Caenorhabditis elegans: one gene and its partner. The protein of the gene in region 1 interacts with the protein of each later gene in a biochemical or structural test. Each region holds a gene or a part of one and is shown on either strand. Other genes may lie near its edges.

Region 1 (4,902 bases):
GTGTGTGCCCAATAACAACAACAACCACATATATAGCCGTCTTCTGGATATATATGTATGTGGGTGTGTGTGTGTTATGGCTTTTCTTCGAACTTTTTATTTCACTCGGAAACTTTCAAGATTTGTCTTTTCTGATGCTTTTTAGGATTCCAGGAATTTTATTCGTTCGAACTAGTAAGTATGAAGTTAGAGTTCACAGCAAATTTTCATCAAAATTCGGAAAAAAACTGGTTTTTATATCGTAGCCCTACAAAAATAGAGAAATAAAAAAATCGAAGGGTCAGATTCACCAGTGTTATTTTTCGATAATTTGTCAGAAAAATTTGGGAATTAGAAACTTTACGAAGTCTAGTGAGTTGCAAATTTTTAAGAATCAAATTTGCTAATTTTCCTTCTTATTTTCGGATCAAATTTTCATTTCATATGAAATATTTCATAAAAAACAAAAAATCAGATTTTGTAGATAGAGCCCACAATGTAAAGGAACTACAACATCTGTAGAACCGGATCTGTTAGATTTTTTCTTCGAGTTTTACAAAATTTCAGACTTCCCAAGTTTTTTGTTTGAGTTTTGGCTCAGAAATTTCGAACATAAAACTTGGAGAATCAGATTCCCGGCTTTTAGAGAAAGTTCCGATTAGGGGCACCACAAATTGAGAAAACAAACATTCTGGAGAATCAGAGTTTCGATTTTTTGTTGCCAAAAACGACATCCTTGCTCCAACTGTCAGCATGCCAAACAACAGACACCCCTGTTGAAAATTTTAAATTCCAAATGAAACGGGGATGGGGTACATCGTAGTAATAGTAGTAGTTGGTTCTTAGGGGAGCACATCTCTGCTTCTTCTTCTTCGCAGCTTTTCGGTCTTCTGCGTCCGTTTGAGTGGTCAGTCAGATGTATGAGAGTGCGTTCCGTATCTCTCTGCGTCTCCACACCCTTGACCACTCTCTACGCCGTCGTGCTCTCTGTGTCTCGCCCGACTATCTCGAATAGAAAGTGACCACTGCTACATAATATTCGAATTCGCGGGGGGGGGGGGGTCTGTCTACTGCTGCTGCTGCTGGGTGGCCGTTTTCCTTGCCACACACTCTCTCGTCTCTCTTGCTCTTTGTGCATCTCATAGTTTGCTACTCGCGATCAGCTGTAGTCAACGTTCTCATATATACAGTATGCTTTTTGTTGAAAGTTTTGCCATATTGCCACGGCAAATTTTTTGGTACTTTAGTGGTTTTTTATTTCAAATCACCACGAACTTTTATAATTTTCCTCGATATTTGCATTTCCTCATTTTTTGCCAATGAAATTGTAAATTTTTCGCATTATTCTGTATGCTAGCACTTGTTTTCCAGCTTTACTTTACTCCCTTGTCCTCTCCCCGCCCCCAAAAGTACCAGAATAAGGTGTTTCCAAATTAGTTGTCCTTATCTTTCGAGGAGCCTCGTTTTAGAAAATGTGTACTTTTCTGCTCAATTCCCGGACACTTTTTCCGGGAATTCAGAAAAAGTCTGAACCACTACTAATTCTAATGTGATATTCTGAAGTTAGTCTTCATAATGATATATGCTAGCAATTTATATAACTAATTTTTCACATGGCGCACACATATCCTCATATCAGAACATATCAGAAGTTCTTGTTATTTTCCCGTTCCCCAAAAGTAACAGAGTAATAAAAAATTTCGAAATCCCGAGGGACGGTCCTTGGGGAGGTCGGGGTCATCACCCTCAACGTACATGGTACCGGGGGCCTGGTGGCGACAGGTAGTGAGGTCTCTCTTCTCAGTCCTGTTAGCACACACACAGTGGAGGGGTGCGTGCGCGCTCGCTCACTCGCCTACAGATCCGAGATGAATCGTAGACGCGTATTGAGGAAGACGGTGTTGGGTGGTGATGGTGTCGTGGGGAAGGGGGAAGGATGCGTACTATCTCTATATTTCTCGAGAACAAGAAGAAGATGATGACGATTCACTTTCCTTCTACTCGTCTCAGAAAGACACGGAGGACGAATTCTGCGGGTGCCTTTTCCCCGAGTAAATTTTCACATGTTTACAAAAAATGTTCATTATGAGCCTCTGTATTGCTTAAATTTGTCAATCATAAAATATTTTAAATAGGCAGTTCTCCTGAAAATAATACATTGAAAAATTTCGTTATTAAACCATTTTTGGTTTTTTTGTTGGAAATTTTTTTGTTGGCTTGATAAATTTGGCACAATTTCGTTTTCCGAGAGGAGAACAACTTTTATTTCCTTCTTCATCTATTTCCTCCTTTTTTTCAGAATTCTCTAGAAAAAAAACAAAAAAAAAAGAAGGCGTCCTCTCTCGTCATGAATGAATAACACTAGTTCCGCCTCACTTTTTCATGTTCTTTTTTCTTCTTTCTTTTTTCTTTCTTTTTTTCAAGTCCAGAAATTCCAGGATCAAGCAGTTCATCCGGCTGTAGTTCGTCATCTACAGAGCTCTACGATCTTGCAGCTGCACACGCCGCACTTATATCCCGACAGCAACAGATTCTCAGTCAGGGTGTGTTTTTGTGGAAAAATTAAAACAAATTGAGTTTTACATGTCCGGAAATGTGTGTCTCGCCACGAACTTTGTGGAATTCGTTGGGAGACCCTATTGTTTTTTTTAATAAGCTAAGAAATTGAGATTTTCGCTCATTCATGTGAAAAAAATAACGCTCGCTAATCTTTGTATTAGAATTAGAGTTGATTTGCTTTTATAATCCAGTTCAATTTGTCTACAAATTTTCTTTTTAAACAATTAAACTAGTTTGGAAAATGGATAATTAATTTTTAAACCTAACCGTTGAATTATTGATCGAAAAATGAAAATTAATTAAAAGTACTGTAAACTTTAAAGGAGCATACCTTTAGTTTCGTACTGGGTTCCACCACGATTCGAGAAATCATACATTTTATAATATTTTCTCGATTTTCGTGCCTAAGATATCTTTTTTTAATATTTAATTGAAACAAATTTTTTATTTTAAAATGTTCATTCTAACCGAAATTTCCAAACCCCATTGTTTGCTCCCGAAACACGAATTTTCAAATAGTTCAGTACTGTAAGATTTAAAGGCGCCCAAACTGTCTCTTGCAGTAGGTCTCGTCACGATCGGAGAAATTCTAAAAAAGTTTTTGTTTTTTCGTTTCGAATTTTTGTTTTTCTGCTCAATTTCTTCGCTTTGTTAGCTAAAAAATGTGTAAAATTTATCATTAAAAAAAACAAAGTTTCAACAATTTTCAGTACCTCTTCATATAATTCACATGAAATTGTCTAATTTTTAGCCAATTTCAGAGGATTTTCCGAAAAACTCAATAATTAATCAAGAATTGTTTCAGCAATCCCAATAATACCGGAACACCAGCTGGCCGCCGTCGCCGCTCACCATCAACATCACCAGCAGCTTCACCCATCGGTACAGTACCAGCTCGTCGCTGCCGCCACCCATCACAATCATCATCAGCCGCAAGCGGCACAACCACACTATTCAGCAGTTGTGCCACGATCTGACGGTTTGTTAAATAATGTTTTAAACGTTGAAAATTGTTTTTTTTTTCAATAAAAAAGTAATGTTTTTTTTAATTTTTCAGTAATACAACAACCACCACACTTTGCTCTGCACCACCATCTTCAGAATTTGGTTCAACAGCAGCAGCAACAGCAGGCTCACCATCATCATCAGCAATTAGTTGGTGAGTCGACCGATTTTTTTTCACGAAAACAAAAAATTAAAAAATAATTACCGAAAATCCGGAAAAAAACATTAAAAAATGAACGGAACAATTTCCCTTTTTTTAAAAGTTAACTTATGAAATTTTTGAAAGATAAAAAAAAATATTGGGAAAAATTTTCAAGCCTCAAAAATCTGGTTTTTAAAACTAAAAACTAATTTTAACAATAGTTTCAAATTTTTCTGTAAAAACCAAAATTCCCAACAAAATTTTTTTGAATCATGATATTTGTAAAAATCTATTTTCTTGATTTGTTAACAAACTTTCGAACCATTTCCCTTTTTGTTTACTTTTTAATATCTCAAAGTTCACGTGTAGTTCTGTTAGCCGGTCTTTACAAATTTAATCAGTTGCTGCCTGTCAAAGTGCACAAGTCCTTCTACTACTTTATTTTCCATCTCCTCTACCGTAATGTCCTTGTCTCCCCTGAATGACCTACAAAGAACACACTCCGCTCTTTCTAGAAAAGACTGCTTTCTCTGTTAAAGCACATGTTTTTTGTTGTTGTTACTCTCCGTCATCAGCTTCGGGGTGTTTTTTTTATTCTGGAATTCTTAGAATTTTCTCAGTTCACCGTGACTCACTTCTCAGAACTACTACGATTTTCTAACAGAAATCTGAAAGACATTTATTGCGAAATATGATGACTAAAAAAGAGATCAAGTTCGGCTTTTTTGAGCCATTTTTTCCGAATAAACCCGTTTTTTTTAATGTTCTGAATTTTCTATCATTTCCAAAAAAAAATATTGTGAAAAAAATTTTTATGATGCTCTTACTCTTTGCCATTTAAATTGGAACACTAATTGTCAATTTTTCAGACATTTTTCCGCGTAGAAATAAAAATTGGCCTATAAATTGTTCGTTTAACAATTAATTACTTGATAGAAAAACGATTCTTCCTTTTAATTTTTTTTTGAATAACGGAAAATTATATATAAAAAATGCCTATTTTCTTTTCTGAAATTTAGTATGAAAACCAGTTAAACACTACTTAGTTAATCTTTATTCGATATATCTTTATCAATCTGAAATTCACTAACGATTCATTTATGACGCTCAAACATGTGAACTCCGTTGATCACATACACACAAATTCACGTTATGACGAACATAACACTAGATATGTCGAAAAACGCATATACACAGATTATATTGCTAGTGACGCA
Region 2 (4,918 bases), on another chromosome or scaffold:
TCAATTTCACAAAGAACTATTCGAAATCGAAAAAAAAATCGATTTTATTCAGAAATTTATTAAAAAATTTTAAAAAAATACCGTACCCTTCAAGCAACGTGTACTCCTCTCGGAAAATTCGAATTAATTATTAATTTTTATTGATTTTCAACCAATTTCGCTACCAAAAAGGGTGTGTTCCCTCTAATTTAGGATAGTCTTTGCCATTTGTCTCCTTCCGTTTTCTCTTTTATCTGACTGGGGTCACATTCACAGTGAAAGGAGAATTAGAAAAAAGAAAAAAAGATGAAAACACGCTGTGTCTCTATCTCTCCGCCAATTCTCACGGTTTTCCCGGTGAGTTACAACGAAGAAAATGAACACTTCGATAAAAAATATATATTGACGCCCCGGGTTACCGATTACCGATGCCCACAAAAATCACTTCTTATCAATTTTTAAATGGTTTTTTTCAGGACAATCTGATTTTTATTTTTTCTCACTCAACCTCCACTCTCTTCAAGTTCCATGCTCTCTTTTAACCTCTTCTACAGCTATTATTGTCGGCCACCTGCGCACACACACAGGGCCTTCTCACACACCATTTAGCATGGGCGGCCCCTTGATGAGCGATGAAAGCGAGAGACGCAGAGAAATTGGTGTAGCGGGGGGCCATGGTGCACTACCGACAGCGCGCGCATACACCACCACCAACCGCCTCTTGTCTTCTTCCCCCCTTCTTCTCACGTCCCCCGGTCCGTCATTTATTTGAATTTTATGGATCCTTTTCGCCTCGTTTTCCTCGTTCCACTATCCTCCCTCCTACCTCCTGCTGGGTTCTACGTTTATTTGCATTTTATAATTGGAGGAACTTCTTCATTCGAACATTTTTCGCTTTTTTTTCCCGTCATTCTTTTTGAATTTTGTAGAGCGAGTAGCGGCCTAGTTTTCGGCTAGGCCATCTGTTGCCAATGACAGATGTGTTTTGTTCACCGTATCGATTCCTGCTCTTTAATTTAAAATTCCCGCGTTTCGGATTTATAAGCAAAAAAGTAATTTTCTACGTCAAAAATAGGTAATTTTAAGGTATTTAAAGTCTGATCGTGGTGTCACCCATGCCAAAAAACATGGCATGCGCCTTTAAAGACTACGGTATATTTACAAAAATGTCGAAAAATGCGAATTTTAAACAAATTTAAAGATTTTTGATGATTTTCTCCTTTTTGTTCGGAATTCCCTTGTTTAAAATTTATGATTTTATTTTTAAAAACTCAAATTACAAATTAATAAGCCGAAAAATATTGTTATTCGCGGTGGTACCCACATTGAAATACATGGCACGCGCCTTTAAAGGTTACGGTAGACAAAAATACTTGAAAATTTAATTTTGAACAAATTTCGAAGTTTTCGATCAATTTCTAGATATTTCACATCGAAATTTCCTCGTTTCAAATTATTTTTTCAACGAAACAGCTCAAATTCGACATTTTTAAGCAAAGAAAAGTAATTTTGTTCGAAATTCGTGTCGAGACCCACACCAAAATAAGCGGCATGCGCCTTTAAAAGTTACGGTGGACAAAAGTATTTTTTAAATTAAAATTAAAACAAATTTCACCGTTTTTGCTGATTTTTCTTGAGTTTTTCATCTAAAATTTCGATTTTGTCGTCAAAATTTATCTCTAATTCAATAAAAATTCAACATTTTCCAATTTTAGAAGTCTAAACCTCCACTTTCTCCCCAAAATCCTATCGAATTCAAATTTCCCGCGTCTTTCCCCTCTCCATGGCCTAACTTCCGCGGACCTAGTCCCCCTTTTTTCTTGTTTTAAATGGTTCCGTGCTTCTTTTCCCTCCATTTTTCCGTCAATTTCCCATTAAAATCGTTAAAAAATGCTCTAAATTTCCAGATATAAAAATACACAAAAATGATGGCCGACGAAGAGCTCGGCGATGAGGTGAAGGTGTTCCGTCGGGATGAGGATGCTGACGATGATCCAATGATTAGTGGTGAAACGTCAGAACAACAGTTAGCCGATGATAAAAAAGAAGCTGTAATGGAAGCAGAATTAGACGGTGCCGGTCGAAATCCATCGATTGATGGTGAGTTTTCCAATAAATTTGATCGAAAGGGGAAGGTGGCCAGCTATCACACAAAATTTTATGGACCACCTCAATTGCCTTTCGACTTTATTACACAAAAAAAATATTTGAAAATTCTTCTAAATTTCTAAATTTCTGCAGGAAAAAGGGACATTAAATATTAAAAAAATACATATAAATTTAAATTTAAATAATTTAAATAAAAACTTTAAATGCTAAGACTGATCCCAAAAAAAGAGAAAAAAATCATTAAATTTGAAAAAAAAACCTTATTTAAATTCCCGCATTTTTTGTCTAAACTCCGCCCATAGAACCGTGCCGCACTTTGTTTTTTTTTCAAATTCAGCGTAAATCCATATTTTGGGGGTTTTTTTTCAGTTTTTAAATGGAGAAAAAGGTTTTAAAAATCGCCGAAAAATTCATTAAAAGCTAGAAAAACAACCCAAAAATTGGACTTTACGTTGAAATTAAAAAGTGCAAAAGTGCGGCACGGTTTTATGGGCGGAGTTCAAAATCGAGACAAAAGCGCGGGAATTTAAATTAATTAAAAATCGCTAAAATATTTTTTTTTGACAAATTTGAGTATTTTCAGTGTTATTTTGAATTTCAACCAATTTTAAAGCGATTTTTCGCCATTTTTTATATTTTAAAGTATTTCTAACACTTTATAAATGAAATTTACTCATTTTTAACCAATTTTTTTTCCGGTTTTCACTATTTTCTATTAAAAAAATCCATGCTAATTTCAAAACACCCCTAAGAATTGACCTGATGGTCCCGGGCCTTACGCAATGACATAATGACGTAAAAGGATGTTACGCAACGGTGTTCGAACACCATCTGCGTCTCTCCGAATCCCATACTATCTCGGTCCGTTATCTTGTGTGCTAATCCGTCGTGAGTACTTGAACAAGTTGGTCCGTCTGTGTGTGCTCAATAGACTGTATAGGGGTGCGAAAGGATTAAGAATTGGATAATATTCAAAATTGATCTGAGAAATTTGAACTTGGCGCCAAAAATTGACCTTTTTTGAGATCTGTGAATGGAAAAATCTAAAAAATTATGTATTTCAGGCCTTTAGAGGTGCTAGAAATTCCTTTTAAAATTTTACGAAAAATCGCTTTAAAATCGAATTTTCAATTGAAAAATCTAAAAAATGAGAGGTTTTGAACTCGGATATCACTATAAAAGTTGAATTTTAAAATATTTTTAACTGAAAATTGTGAAAATTTGCGAAAAATCGCTTTCAAAAATCGAAATTTTGAAGGAAAAATGAGATAATTAACCCTATAAAATTGAGTTTTGAAGAATTTTAACTAAAAATTGTGAAAATTACCGAAAAATCTCTTTAAAATCGGAGTTTTCATGAAAAAATCTGGAAAAATGAAATCTTTAACCCTATAAAATTGGATTTTAAAGAATTTTGACTAAAAATTGTGAAATTTGCCAAAAAATCGGTTGAAAATCAAAAATTTGGCTCTTTTTTAACCATTCTAACCGAATAATTATCAAATTTTCAGTGTTAAAAAGTGCATTTCCAAAAGTCGAACCAATGTCACCATCGTTTCCCGGTTTAATGTCACACTTCAGTCCTGGATACTCGGCAGCTGCTTTACCCATGTTTATGCCTCTATTTATGGTGATTTTTTACTTGGAAAATTGAAAAAATTTGAATTAAAACACATAAAAATTGGCGAAAATCGACAAAAATCGACTTAAAATTGTATTTTAGAGTTAACAAGTTAAATACTTCTGAACGAAAAATTACCGAAATTGGCAAAAAATCGGCTTTAATTGGAAGTTTTCACTGAAAAATCTGAAAACAAAGGTGAATATTAGGCCTCGAATATGTTATAAATACCTTATAAAGTTGAAATTTCAAGATTTCCCCCAAAAATCGACGAAAAATCGCTTTAAAATCCTTTTTATGACAATTCCCCCTATTTTATTAGAAAAATTATGTAGTCTAGGCATTAGAAATACTTTTAAAAGTTGCAATTTCAATATTTTGCCCAGAAATTGCCTAAGAAATGGGAAAAATTATGTATTTTGAATTTTTAAAGGGTTCGAGAGCCTCTATATTTTTGGAATTTAAGAATTTACACCAAAAATTATTTAAAAAAAGCGAAAAAACACCCTAAAATCGAAAGCTTTATTGAAAAATATGGAAAATTGTGTATTTTTGAGCTTATTCTTCAATTTGAATCAAAAATCGTCGAAATTTGCAAAAAATTGCTTTAAAATCCTATTAAAAATCATTTTTCCAACAATTTCTTCCCCAAAAAAGCAGAAATTCCAAAAAAAAAAAATTCAAATTTTTACCCAATTTCAAGAATTTTTAGGGCTTTTCTCCATTTTTGTAGAAAAAAAACCGTATTAATTTTTTATTCTTCCTACAATTTTCTTCCCCAAAAAGCAGAAATAATACAAAATTTCCACTAAAAAACTGAATTTATTGTCTTCCAAATCCAAAAATTCTTGGCTTTCCGCCATGGGGTTCTGGCCTTCCTCATTGAATTTTTCGCGCTCCATTGACAATCGCCCGCCGGACTGGGATAGTCGTGTACTCCACACGGACAAGTGCATTTAGTTTTACAACTAAAATCGAGCCGCGACGCGACACGCAACGCGCCGTAAATCTACTGAGCCAAAATGACCTAGTTCGGCAAAAACTCTTCCATTTCATTTTATGAGGGAAGCCAAAAATTCGTGAGAAATTCTACAAAATTTTCACCGAAAAACTGAATCTATTATCTTCTGAATCCAAAAACTCGTTGCATTTCCTCGAAAACAGTTTTTTCTTCTTTTTTGTTGGAGAAGCCTCATTAACTCCCAAAAA

The links.
Region 2: of the proteins of lit-1 (region 1) and pop-1, one has a biochemical effect on the other in vitro, tested with the Caenorhabditis elegans proteins (4 studies listed by BioGRID).

Annotation. Positions count from the first base shown.
Region 1 is NC_003281.10:13,712,155-13,717,056, forward strand, and holds the start of lit-1 (Serine/threonine kinase NLK), read left to right. Parts: upstream 1-1,890; coding exon 1,891-2,030; intron 2,031-2,403; coding exon 2,404-2,522; intron 2,523-3,343; coding exon 3,344-3,517; intron 3,518-3,595; coding exon 3,596-3,697; intron 3,698-4,902. UniProt on the Caenorhabditis elegans protein: Has a role in the Wnt signaling pathway controlling the asymmetry of cell divisions during embryogenesis. Operates in the AB and EMS cell lineages influencing cell specification.
Region 2 is NC_003279.8:2,827,280-2,832,197, reverse strand, and holds the start of pop-1 (Protein pop-1), read left to right. Parts: upstream 1-1,886; 5' UTR 1,887-1,904; coding exon 1,905-2,079; intron 2,080-3,599; coding exon 3,600-3,718; intron 3,719-4,918. UniProt on the Caenorhabditis elegans protein: Transcription factor. Part of the Wnt signaling asymmetry pathway. Binds to the consensus sequence, 5'-(C/T)TTTG(A/T)(A/T)(G/C)-3'.